3 linked regions of the Drosophila melanogaster genome follow. The protein of the gene in region 1 interacts with the protein of each later gene in a pairwise test. Each region holds a gene or a part of one and is shown in the gene's direction. Other genes may lie near its edges.

Region 1 (5,925 bases):
ATTCAGGTACCTCTTAGTCTCGATCCACTGTACCTCGTGACGTTTCTATTGAAGGCCGAACACAATATACAAGCACTCTAATTTTGCGTGTGCGTACATAAGCTACTATTTGCTTAAGGCTCCGCCGCTAGGTAAATAAAAAATCACCATAGAAATGGAAATAGCAAAAAAAAATAGAAAATCAAAGAAACCAATTTGTAGCAATCTGAAGACAAAATCAAATAATTTGTCACATGGCGGGCTTAACCACGGCAAAATAGAAAACAAAAAAATAAATAAAACCGTGCAAAAGCTTACTATCACACGCCCCCACAATGCTCTCTTGAGCTCTTTCTCTTTTTCGCGCACAAAGTGTGAGTGAGAGGCAGAGCAAACAAAACCGATTCGCACTCTCGCCAATGCACGTGTTACCTTTGTTGGGGCTTTCGATGATTCGGTGAGAGGGGCAAGGGGGCAATGGACAGGTGCCTACGCTACCACTTACCTCGCACGGATAAGTCCATGATATTCTCCTTGGGCTCGCTCATTGCACACTCTGTGTCCTCCTATCGATTGCAAGTGTTTGAAAACCGATTACCGATACACACGGTCGCAGCAACAACGCGTAACTGAAACTATTTTCCAAAAGATTAAATCATTTCGATGGCGGCGCGGGGGAGCATTGGGACATAAATTGGAAATCAAAATAAGAGCAACTTCAAGTACTCATTCTCACTCTGCTCTCTCGCTCTCTCTTTTTGGTGCAGCCGGCAGAATGTAATCACGTGGTCTTTATCTTCACTGGAGCCATTCAGGGGGCCAGAGCGTGAGGGGGCTAGTTGCGGAGAAGCAGCGAGAGAGCCAAGCGGCATATGTCCATCTCGCTCGCTCGCATGGCCCTCTTATATAAGCCTTATGTAACGGAGAGTCGCAGGGGCATGCGCACATGGCAACAGTGGATCGTGGGGCCATAAAAATAGAAATCTATACTAAGTACCCACTACGAACGACTCTGACTAATCGCCGTATTTCTATTTTAGTAGCTAGGGGTCAGGTTGCAGAAGGATTCCATCAAATATTTTACGTCTATAAATAAATAAATATCATAAATCATTTAAATTATAAAATTATTTAAATATATTGATATGAATAAAAACACATTAAATGTGGTTCATAAAATATTTAATATTTTTACATTTAAAAATAGTTTTAGATGACTTCCAATTTTAGTTTAAATACTTAAATTCCTACTAGTAAAATGATATGACCTTAAGTTTTGGGTCATGCTTTTCGAAATCAGTAAGCTATGGAGTTCTTTGTCAAAAGGGGGTTATGTACAAATGTTCATCAAAGGGAATTAAAGCACTTCTGTTATGATAAAAGCTTGAAAATCCTTCCCCTAAGCTAGATAAACAGGGGCAAACATCAGCGCAGCGCAATCAAATTGATTGGCAAGCTGTCTCCCCAATATAGATACCACATAAGGTATGGGAATTAGGCCGGGGATTAGTCAGCGGAGGAACGAATGCTAATGCCTCCTTAGAAGGGGGAATGGTAAAACAATTTCCATTTCTCAACCGATATTATTAGTTTCGTTGAACAAAATTTGCACTGGAAAAAAACCCTTTTCTTACTCATGATAAAATATAAAAACTAATTAATTTTAAGACATTTGGAATAATATTTATAATGAATACTAAGATGCAATCTATTTAACTAAAAGAAGAACAAAAATAAACTTTATCTTTTTAATATACTTTTTCATATTTTCTTGTAAAATACAATCTACATTTTTCAAATTTCTTGGCGCGCCAAATCATTAACATTTCTACATTTGAAAACATGTTAACGAATTTAATGTATTTATAGACTTTTATTATTATAGACTCTTGTGCAGTTAACTAAGCTATTGACTAAATGCTATAAGCTAAAAAAAAAGTCTCTATAAAATCACTTAAATGTATACGTTCAAGACGTTTCTTTCATTTAATTTGTTAAATTTAGGTTTCACGATCTGATCTTATGACATAAAAACGATTGTTTAACAAAATGCTTAGCATACTTTTAAGCATATTTTTTTTACTGTTGTTGCACTGTTATTAAGAGAATAGCTAGCTGTTAAGACATTCTTTGCAGACTCTGTTTTATTCGGTTGCCTTGGTAACTTCTTCATTCATTTATTTCAGAGAGAACGAGCTTACTGTTAATAACATTAACATTAACATTGGAGATCGAAATAATAACCCAAGCAGGGTGACCCAAGCACAAACTGTCTGCGAATTTGGCGGTAACATACAGTTGGTCTTCCAGTTAGGTTTCCACCTCGGCCGGGAAAAGTCGCGTGAATTACGAGAAGCAGCAAACTGTTGTAAAGTTGAAAAACAAGCTATTTATTAGTAGAACATTATTCTTGAACATTTAATAACAACAGTTCGCACTAAAATTCAAACCCAACAACATTTCAACGAATCAATATTTCCCAATTTTTCTGGATTTTAGTACAGTAAAACTCATCAATTCGGGCGCAAACGAAAACTAGCTGCGGCTTTATGAATTTTGTTTGTGTTATGCGCGCGCGAATAAATCCCAGAAATTGATTTCCATTGAATTTCTATTAAATTGTATTGAAAAAAATCCTTCGAGTGTCAAAAACTAATTGATTTGTGCGTGAGTGTGTGAAAGTGAACTTATGGGTGCGTGAAAAAATGCAATAATCCAAAGGGAAATACCGCTAAAGAGGAAAACATCAACAATGCCAATTTAAAAGAGACCAACAAAAAAAAATAGCAGAGAAAGAGGCAGCACAAGGGAAAATTCAAATATATAAATAAAGAAATCCCGTTTTAGCCAATAGAAATGCACAAAACCACAACAAACATGCAGCAGACAACGGATCTTGACTTTGATTTCCAGATGCCGTGTCGCTATTTCAAAAGTTCTTTTGCGCGTTCGCTTTCGCTCAACAACAACAACAACAACAACAACAACAACAACAACAACAACAACAATGCCTTGACATTGCCCAAGAAGCCGCCAACAAACGAGGCCAAACTACAACAACAACAACAACAGCAGCAGCTGGAGAATCAGGAATCGCTAGAGAGAGACAACGAACAGGATTCCCCCTGCGCCACCCCGCCCCCCGCTCTGCCAGCACGACGTCACACCGCCAACATGATACACTTTGGCGCCTCTAATCAGCTGCTCACCGCCCAGCCGCCCCATCCCCCTCAGCATCCACAACCACCGGCACAATCCGCCAGGAATCTCAATCTCGTCTGGCCAATGCAACCGACACATCAGCCAACACAGCAGCAGGTTAGTACAGTAATCTTTGCGCCAAACGAGAATTCTCGGAATTTAAATTCCGCAGTAATGCCAACATTTAACGTTATGAGGAAATGCTTGGGCTACAAAAAAAATTAAGTACATATGTATATGCGTTAAGGGAAATTTATAGAAACAACGTGATTTTCAAATATTTTGTTAAAATTATTTACAAACAATATTAAAAACAGTTAATACTATGTACATATTTAATTAACAACTTTTTCTGAATTCAAGTTCACTTTTCTTTGACTTGGAATTCCCTGAAGTTCTGTTACGCGAGTGCCCACTGTATCACTTTATGCTTTCTTTGCTTGGAACGCGTCTCCGTCTCCCCTCTCACTCTGCCCCACATCCCCCGGCTCCCTTAAACTTTGCTATGTTGCCTTGGCATTAAAGAAAAAAGTTCAGTTTCCTTTTTGGAGCAACTGGATATTTATGTCACCTTGTTGTTTGTCACGTAGCCTTGACAGCCTCCCCTTAACAACCCCACTACCCCCTCTTCTGCCCACAAAAATCCTCGCCTCCTTTGGCGTCTTGCAGTTGTTGTTGTTATTATTGTTGTTGTTGCTGGCCATGATATGACAAAGTTTTTGTTTCACTGATTTTTTTAAGGTCAACTTGATTTATGTGCGAAAAGTGTCGTGTGTGGGTCGAAATTGGAGAGTAAACTTCACTTGGCATTGATAAGGGTGATAAGGGGGCATAGTTGGGGGTCTAAAGTGGTTGAAAGGCGTATATGTAACATTTATTAAGTGTCTCAATGAATTTGCCAGCAAACATCAAGTGGAATTGAAAGTTGCATCGGGGTAACTTAGCACAAAAAAAAAAAATGGGTAGTAAGCTGTAAATAAAAATGTTCTTGAAAATTTTCATCAAATTTAGTTCTCAATTAAGCTAACAAAAATGTAATAATAGGATTTACAGTGGCTTACACATCATAAATTAATGGAGCGTAATTTAAATATTGCGGGAACTTCAATAAATGCTAATAATTCATTCGATTTATTGAAAATATAAATTTATAAATAAATATAAATAAATTTATAAATAAATTTATAATTTATAAATAAATTCTTTCAATTAAATGAGCAATATAAATGTCAAACATGAATAATTGAATAAATATCAGTTCCAATACTTAAACAAGATATTGATATTTGAAGGTAGTGTAATATTTCAGAAATTACATATATTTTACATCAATATCATTTTTCTGCGTTATTAGATTAGAAACATAGATACAAATAATTTTTTTTGCTAATAACTTTCTTCCCCATGTTTCGTTTAACTGTTTAAAACATTTCCCAAGTTATTGCAACGAATTCTTTATATTTCCTCTGCCATAAAATCCGATGTTTCCACCTCCAATTTTCATTTCCTTTAATTTGAAGGCCTGTGCCGTCATCACACACCCCACCACCCCTCGCCGGCACCCACACCCTTTGACCTTATCGAACAATCACAATATTTCCTTAATTCGTTCTCTAGCAAATATGCCATAATCACCCACCGATTCCGCTGAAAACTCAAGCGTAAACATCGAAAGCAAAACTTTTGTTTAAAGAAAATGCCAGCAAGGTCTTGGCCTAAACAATAATTAGCCAAAGAATTACCGTGTGTTGTTTCAGCCCCCCTCCATATTTTTGTTATTTCGGGCCTAAAGCGTTCATTCGGTAGGGCGTTCGAAAAAGCGACTGTGTGCAAAGGTCAAGCTACAATTCAATGATCGGGTTTTGGTTTGGCGATTTCCCAGGCCAAAACGGGTGGACTTAATATCCGATTTTCGGTTTGAAATCGACAGTCATAGCAACAGACTTTCAACAAGTTGATGGCCTTTTGTCTTGGGCATGCAAAACTACTGGCAATCGGATATGCCCCCCCCCCCCCTCCCCAAAGCCCACCCATTGCCCCATTCCCAAGCCTCATTACGAAATGTCGCCAAGATTTTGCGGCTTTAATAGCTGCCGATAAAGCGTAATGAGAAAAAGTGGCAACAAAAGCTTGTTATTTTTATTTTATATATGCATACATATATATTTTCCTTTTTCTTTATGATTGTCACTTGATATCGTTGCCGGTTTCGTTGTTAGCTGCTTGCGGCCTCTTGGCCACACTTGAATGGCTCCGTTGTCGCATTATTTGAATTTTTCTAACGCAGCTGCTGCTGTTGCTGCTGCTGCTGTTGCTGCTTTCCCTACTTGCAACTTGTGGCGTAGGAGTTGCATGCTTCACAGTTTCATCCTCCCGCGGATGAGAGTTCATTGCATCGGGTTTTCACTTTCGATTGCCTGGCGGTGAAGTAAAAAATAAAAACACTCCAAGTATCAACAACAAACCGCATTTCGTTGACAGCTGACTTACCAACTACAATGGCCAACGCTGGCAGGCGTGAATAGAAGTCAAATTACGTTGACCTTACGGGGTATATTACCCAATCCATCTGGCATTAAACCATCGAAGTCGAGTTAAGTTACGGTAACTAACCATCGAAGAGAGCTCTTTTCTTTTTGAAGTCATAAACCATCCTTGTACTTGGCAAATAATTGTTAATGACACTTTTGAACTTCACTGGCATATTCGAATATTACTTACAATTATGAGCAAAAAACTTAAAAG
Region 2 (3,968 bases), on another chromosome or scaffold:
CCAGCCATTTGGCCATCAGTGTCCAACAGAGCCGTTGGGCCGGAGTTGCTGTGTTTGAATTAAAAGAAATTAGTTTAGTTATGCCAATGCTCCCCGGGCTACGCTATTGAGTTATCGGCCAGGCAGGAGTGGGACAACTTGGTGCCGGTGACAGGAGGCAACTCGGATGGATAAATTGCAAGTTTTCCCTTACAATTTTGAGTGTGTGCTGCTTGTCCTTGCGTGCCTGGAATTTCAGAAAAAATAAACGCTTTGCGTGTTGCTCTTCTGATGTCGTTTAACCATTATGTGGCATGAATTTGCCATTTTCATTTAAATGCTGCTCTTGGCAGCGAGTCAACTCGTTGGCTTTTTAGCGACTGTTCTGCATTCATAAGCAGCAATCGTATATATCCTGCGGAATGTACTGAAATTGTTGTTGGATTTAGGTCTAAATGTATACAAAACTAGTATTCTTATTTGTTAAGCCCTGAATAAATTTAATTTTTAAATTGCATAAATTGCAGTGCAGTGAAATCATCTGTAATACCCATAGTACCAAAAACCTTATTTTTGTGAATGATTTTGTGTTGCGTACAAAACCTAGATTTCACGCTGATCATTTCCATTCCTAAGTTTTGAAAACAGCAGAGGTGCCATCACCAGTGACGAACCAGATTATGCTCATGCTGGTGCCATCGAAATTGATAGTGGAAATATGTGTGCTGAATGGGATATTTAAGCGCGCCTATCAAACACGCGCACAATAAATCTTCGTCACGGGCCCAAATTGACATTTTACAGCCAAAAACCAGAAACCAAAGCCACGCAGAGGACAAAGTAAGTTCCACTAGTCCGTGTTCCAGCTGCTTTTTTGCTCCTGCGGCTGCCGCTGTTTCGAAAGCCACTGATATTGTTGTCAACGATGATGGCCCAAGGCATCAGCCACATGTGTGGGAGCCAGAGCTCGTCCCTCCTCAAAGTGCCCTCGCACATGGTTGGCAAAGCCAAACCTTTATTGCCACAGCTCCATGGAGCAACAGCGAAAATTTAATATCTGGCTGGGGCGTGGCTCCATTGGAGCTGGTCCGTTGTTGCTGGCGATCAGAACTCATCGCATTATCCTTTGGCCTGGTGGCGGTTACTCGCTCAAAATAATTGCACACTGCACCCCCAATAAGTCTGTTCGCCCGTTTGATACAGAGAAATTTCTATTCGCATTTCCCAAACAAAAGTGGTGTACAAAAATAAAACTGCATATAAGTTTTAAAACATACGCCATACAAAATATATTAAAAAATGTCCGAAAAAATATTGTGCTTTTCCTCGTTCTGGTTTTCAGTGTCTCTGTGAAGTCATCTGTCAGTACCCTAATGCAAAAAGCATGAAACCTCAGGCCAGCTGTCAACACAACAAGCAAATTGCCGCGGAAGCATCAGTTTTGAGGCAACTAGACTTTTTTGATATGGAAAAACCCCTATCAGTAAGAGTCACTAGAACTATAGGTTTATTTTTAAAAATAATCAGCTCCTTTAACACAAAGTTAGACTTCTAAGTAGACAAACAAAATTTAACCCTCGTCTAATTTGTGTTTCTTTTGAGATTGGTTTTGATACTCAGCTTTCCATGCATTATGTCCGAATCTAAAGTCAACTTCATATTTTAGTAGATTTTTGGAACGATACTCATGTACAAATGATACAAACTGCATGAGAAGTGCACGGACTAAAAACTGTATTAATTAAGGGATCCTCCATACGCTTTATAGGTACACCAAACTAATTACAATTTAAGTAACTTTTAAATTACGTCACCAGAATTTCGAGGTCTTTAAAGCAATCAGAATCCTAGATAAGTTTGTCAAAGTTTTCGTGCTATAGTTATTCTCAAAAAAACATGTTTTTGGTGAACATATTGATTGTTTTGGCTCTATGTTTGGTATAATTAAATATTTAGTAATTTTAAATGAAATCTGATTTATTCTCCTGTATTCTAGTTGGTGTTGGTTATAGCTGATCTTCAGGAGGACCATCTAAATGAACACAATCGGTTGAGGGAGAAGCATGGAAGTCCGCCTCTGACCTTGGACGATGAACTCACAAAGGGATGCGAAGAATATGCTAAAGTATTTCGTTGGTTAATAACAATGTTACCTTTTTACACTTTTAATACCCTCGAACAGGTGCTAGCCAATAATGAAAAGTTAGAGCATTCAAGTTCTGCCGGTCAAAACTATGGTGAAAACTTGTGCATGCGGTCACAAACCCCTCTGCAATGTGTTCAAGACTGGTACGACGAAATCGCGGACTACGACTTTGAAAAGCCACAGTTTGCAATGTCAACGGGTCATTTCACCGCCCTCGTTTGGAAGAATGCGAAAAAAATGGGTATTGGGCAAGCCAAGGACAAAAAGGGTTACTACTGGGTGGTAGCAAGATATTATCCACCAGTCAATGTGAACGGGCAGTTCGAAGAAAATGTTCTTCCGCCGATCAAAGGGTAAGCAAATTAATTACATCTGTAGTTTTTTCTTTCATTTTATTTCATTGCAGGGAAGGTGATGAAAATGGTCAAGGCAATTTGAATAGATTTCAAGTTGACAATATTCCCATCATAGTCATGCTTTGGTTATGCTGGCAATTCACAAATTGAGGGTCATTATCACTTTGAAGTTTTTGTGCCGCAGTTCTTGTAAATTTGTAGTTAAGCAATTTGAAAAACCAATTACTGATATTTGAAACTACTCTGTACCCAATAATAAATTTCACTTTTTGGAAGTTTGGTGAATATGCCATTGTTAGTTATGTAAAACCATTCTATCTAGTTGCTTGCAACTTGTAGTTCACCAGGAAGATATTAAAACAGCACACGATATTTAATGATCGAAACTGGGGAGTGCTGCCTTAACACTGGGGTGTTTGGCATTTACAAAAACTATTTAAATGCATGAAATATTTTGAATTAAAAAAAAGAGAGAATGTTATAGTCGAGTTCCCCGACTATCTAATACCCGTTACTCAGCTGCTGGCAGTGAGAACGTGATATTTCATAATTTTCTGGCATATCGATAGATATTGGAGAATTTAATGGGAAGGCGTGGCTGCATGGATGAACAAACTTGTGCTTTAGAATCTGTATGCTTTATCTTAACCTTATAGCTTATATAATTCCTGAAATTTCGACGGTCATACGAACGACCAGACAGACGGACATGATCCTGATCAAGAATAAATATACTTTATACGGTCAGAAACTCTTCCTTCTACATACTTCCTTGACATACTTTTTAACGAATCTAGTGTATTCTACTTAATTCTACGAGTAACGGGTATAAAATGTGTTAAAATTTATATTATTTGAAACAGCTATTACTACAGCTATAGAAATCCAATCTAAGACGACACAGCACTGGTGGGCGTGTGAGTATGTTGGGTTAATTTGAATTCGTGCGATAGGGATATTCAGTTTTTTTTTTTCACTAGGCGCGGGTTGTTCTGGCCTTTTTCTTTCCGCATTTATTTTTATCTTTTTTGGCAATCAGCATCAGCCGAAAGGAATTCCCCATTGACTATGCCGGTGTCAACAAAGTGGCGGAAAAGAATTAGGTATACTGTCTCGGTTGGCTGTTTATACCCTTCTACTATCTCAATCCTTAACAAGTTTTAGATGGCTTAATATATTTATAAAATTATATAAATTGTAATCATTTTTATGAATTATATCACATTACTTTACCACTAAGTCAAAATGGGTGACTTATGCACCTTTTGGGGTGGTACCTACCACGTACTGGGTATCTATAAGTCGGTGCAATCAACTAGAGCGCTATTTTATTTCAAGCTTTGTTTCCTACATGTCTGTTCCCAAGTGGAAGTCGATGTCTGGGGCTCAGCAGCTGCCGGGAGCGCATTAAATCCTTAAGCACTCATTATTATTCAATCAGATATGGAGTCGAATGTCTTTTTGTTTGTGTCTTACTTAGCCTCGCT
Region 3 (4,219 bases), on another chromosome or scaffold:
CTGAAACACTGAAAGAAATAAAGTTTTTTTTAAGACAAGAATTAAATAAGTTTTTAAGCTTAATAAGAGATAATTATTACGTCATTTATAAATCTTAATAAAAAAAAGCTAACATTGGCTGCTGATAAGTATAAATTTTCTCAGTGCATTTATGTTTGCGGGGAATACAATATCATCCGCAGAGATAAGAGCAGCAGAAGAGCTAGATGGCAAGTCTGTGCGAGGGAGACAGACAAGTGTAGGGGCGAAATGCATTAGATAAGCAAAACTCAGCTGGAATCCACCGAAAATGAAAGAATGGGTCCAGCTGTGTTTACTACATGAAACAGAAGCCGCTCGTCCAAAAATATTAATCTGTTTTCTCCTTCTACGCTTTCCATCTTTCTCTAAATGCAAAGTGCTGAGATTATAGTTTGTGTGAAACATTTTAATATTTATTGTACTTGCACAACGCAAGAACTCTAATCTCAACGGGTAAATACGCTATCCAAACTGGTATCATTATTATATAAATCTATTTATACATTCATTTGGTTTTATGTATTAAAGAAATGCTTAAGTTGTGTGATAAAATGTAGAAAGTCAAGGCAATGTGCAAAATATTTCTCATCAAAGAACACAAGTTCGTATGTGGACAGAAATGGTCTTGTCAACTTGATGGATCTGGGATGAAGTTCAAAGGAGGGGAGTGGGGGTCGAGGCCCGAGTGCTGGGGGCAGCCTCCCCAACCGCTTTTCCGCAGCGCCCTTTGCGGAATCCGTTACTAATCACACGACTTACATTTGTAGCCCGCTTCCGACTTTCCCCTCTTCAATTTCCATTCCTCGGTTCAGGGTTGATGCGCTGGCTTGATGTTGATGTTGATGCATTCGCAGAATCTCAGCCTGTCACATGCTCGTAAAATCAACAAAATGCAGGCGACTGTTGTGACACTTGCCATGACAACAGGCAAGAACGGCAGCAACAACACTCCGTGTTGCAGTTAGCAAAATGTGTAATGAGTGGCGAAGAGACGGACATACACTGGCAGAAATATATTATAATATCTTCAACGTTCGAAAAATGTATTTCGAAATTTGACAGAATTATCAAAGAACAAAAATATATGTTTACTTGATCGTACTTAGCAGTTATTAAAAATCATTAGCAATAATATTGATATATATTTATTCACAGTGCATTTGAAGATAGTATACTTGCATCTGCGGTAGGTTTTGGCTTAAGAACTGACTATGGAAAACGGGGGACTAGGGCTTGATCCACCCCAAGATGGGGAGGAGTGTGGGGCTGCTGGTATGGGGGTTGGCCCACCCACTCGAAAATGCGTCGCTCTCTTTCTGCATTCTATGTCTGCTGTCAAAGCCCAAAAACTGAAGTTGCCTTTGTATTTTTCACTTTTTTTTTATATATGCTTTATATATGTATGCATTGTCATGGCCGGAGGGGTGATGGCCAAAAGGGGGTGGGAGGTGACTGGATGATGCTGCCGTCGGGCAAAGTGTCCATTATGTTGATTTGAAAAATAAAAGCAACGGATGCGATTGCTCACACAAAGATGAAGGGCGGACTGACAATTGGCGAGGAGTTAACAGAGGGAAGGGGGGGGGCTTATAAGGCGGGATTTTCCGGGTGGACAGTAAGGGTGGGTGGGGGCGTTTAGCATGGACTGGTGATTCAAATTTAGTTGATTGAATGAAACGACAGTAATGTGGCTTTTAAATGGTTTTAGTCTGATGGGGGATTTACTATGAAATTGAAGAAACAAAAGATTAACAAATAAAATTTAACATTTCCATTTCATCTACCTTGATTTTGCTCTCAAAAATCCTAGGAAAACTAAACCAGCAAACTGCTGCATAAGAAACGAAAGCCCTTCTTACCCCACACATGATTGCGATTCAAAATTCCGTGTGCCGAAAATATGATGAAGAAGTTACTAAGCAACGGCTCGAACAAAAATAAAACTCTTAAGTTCGACGAGGGAATCAATTTGGACCAAATAATTGCAAAGCTAAAACTAATCGGAGAGATAGGATCCGTGGTTCAGATTTCCGTCCGGGAAATCGAAGCGGTTTGTTCTCGGGCCAGGGAAGTACTGCTCAAACAGCCAACTCTGCTGGAGATTCCTGCTCCGATTAATTTACTGGGAGACATACACGGTCAGTACCTAAATCTCTTGCGCTATTTCGAGTCCAATGGCTATCCGCCGGATTCGGTGTATCTGCTACTGGGTGATTATGTGGACAGAGGCAAGCAGTCCATCGAAACATTGACCCTGCTACTGGCCCTCAAGGCAAGGTATCCGACCAAGTTCTACCTACTAAGAGGAAACCACGAGTGCTCCAGTATAAATCACTTCTACGGATTCTACGACGAGTGCAAAAGGCGATACACGGTGAAGTTGTGGCGCACTTTTGTAGATTGCTACAACTGCCTGCCACTGGCGGCGATCATCGAGGAGAATATCTTCTGTTGCCACGGCGGTCTGAGTCCCCATCTGTTTAGCATGCAGCAGATACGGGAAATTCGCCGGCCCATCGAAATACCGGAATCCGGATTGATATGCGATATTCTGTGGTCCGACCCTGATCTGCGGATCATGGGCTGGGGTCCCAACGAAAGGGGCGTGAGCCACACCTTCGGTTCAGATGTGGTCAGTGCCTTCTTGCACCGATTCAAATTGAACCTCATTTGTCGGGGTCACCAGGTGGTCGAGGATGGCTACGAGTTCTTCGCCAAGCGCCAGCTGATCACAATTTTCTCGGCCCCAAACTACTGCGGGGAGTTCGATAATGCTGGGGCCATGATGTGCATCAATCAGGATTTGTTGTGCACCTTTCGAGTTCAGAGGCCAATACTATCGGAGCAGAGGAGACTATCAGATATAAGTGTTTAAAGGTTTAAAGATTCGTCCGTTCGATCATTGTAAAGTAGTTTATTTTTTTAAACCATATTGTAAATTCCATATTCCAGTTAGCGTTATAAGAAGCACAATTAAAATATAAACAGTTGCAATTCAAAATAATACTTTAAAAAACGTTTAAACAATATTAGGCTACAATTTGAAATCACGTGAACACCACAAAGTAGCTGATATTATCATTACATAATTAACTGCACTTTATACGCAATTAATCGAAAAATCCATTAAATTATATCCCATCTCATCAACAATTTCAGCATAAAAAAAACCACACTGATTTCTCCATTTTGTAAAGTCGCGCAAAAAGTAATATATATTAATTTGATAAATAATAATCATTAATTTCCATCTAGTTAAGTCATAAGGGCAATTAAATTATGGCAGAGTTGGCAAAGAATTTTGTACAATTTTCCTCGCCCAGTTCAAAAGCTAATGACTGCCCTCAACGAAAGTGAAAAGCAGCTAAAATAATTACTAAAATGCATTACAACACGCACACTCACACAGTGGGCAATGCAAATTGGCGGGGAAATATGAAAAATAAAAAAGAATAAATGTGGGGAAAGAGAGAAATTAAATGACACAGCAATTTGCAAAGGGAATAAATTAATGGCAATCCATTTCGGAAAATTGGAATGATGCGCAGTGGCCATTAATGCAAATTTCAAGGATAATGAAAGAGAGAAGGGAGCGGTGCTGCGTGACATGACAAGTTCGTGGATTCAATACTTATGTACTTAGGGCACAATAATAAACTATAATTCAAATGCATAAATTTAGCTTTTTCCGATATTTAATTTGAATTTTCTAAGCACCAAGGATGCCCAAAAGTCATACGCTCAGGACGAGCAGGAGTTTCACTTGCAAATATCCTTGCCATGTTGCTGACAAATGACAACACAAGCATATCGATGTCGCAACAGTCAAGAAAAACAAAAACACCAGGGCAAATAAGCAGACATGTGGGGTTGAAAGGACCCAGCCGCATTAACCCCACAATGGATGCAGCATGTCCGAGAAAAAGATGGAGATGCAGAGATATGGATGGGAAGACAGGGACAGGCGTAAGCTGAAATATCCACAAAACTAATCTGAGCGAAAGGGCCAGTGCTAGACGGAGGGAAAGAGACGGCAGCAAGCTGCAGGATTTACATATTAAGCCATTTTTAATTTACGACTTGCCAAAAAGCTGCCAGTCGAAGGAGCAGTACGAAAGACTTTCACCCATTTCCCCGTCGCCTGACTAAACAGCAGATAACAACGAATGGAGGAACGCCGGGAACACAGATGGATGAT

The links. The genes of interacting proteins can lie anywhere in the genome.
Region 2: the proteins of CG32365 (region 1) and CG31482 interact in a two-hybrid assay, tested with the Drosophila melanogaster proteins (one large-scale study listed by BioGRID).
Region 3: the proteins of CG32365 (region 1) and PpN58A interact in a two-hybrid assay, tested with the Drosophila melanogaster proteins (one large-scale study listed by BioGRID).

Annotation. Positions count from the first base shown.
Region 1 is NT_037436.4:7,866,757-7,872,681, forward strand, and holds the start of CG32365 (uncharacterized protein), read left to right. Parts: upstream 1-2,285; 5' UTR 2,286-2,347; exon of another isoform or gene 2,348-2,826; 5' UTR 2,827-2,835; coding exon 2,836-3,297; intron 3,298-5,925.
Region 2 is NT_033777.3:6,599,435-6,603,402, forward strand, and holds CG31482 (uncharacterized protein), read left to right. Parts: upstream 1-1,807; 5' UTR 1,808-1,875; coding exon 1,876-1,917; intron 1,918-1,975; coding exon 1,976-2,104; intron 2,105-2,161; coding exon 2,162-2,478; intron 2,479-2,531; coding exon 2,532-2,631; 3' UTR 2,632-2,767; downstream 2,768-3,968.
Region 3 is NT_033778.4:21,880,151-21,884,369, reverse strand, and holds PpN58A (protein phosphatase N at 58A), read left to right. Parts: upstream 1-1,836; 5' UTR 1,837-1,921; coding exon 1,922-2,896; 3' UTR 2,897-3,018; downstream 3,019-4,219.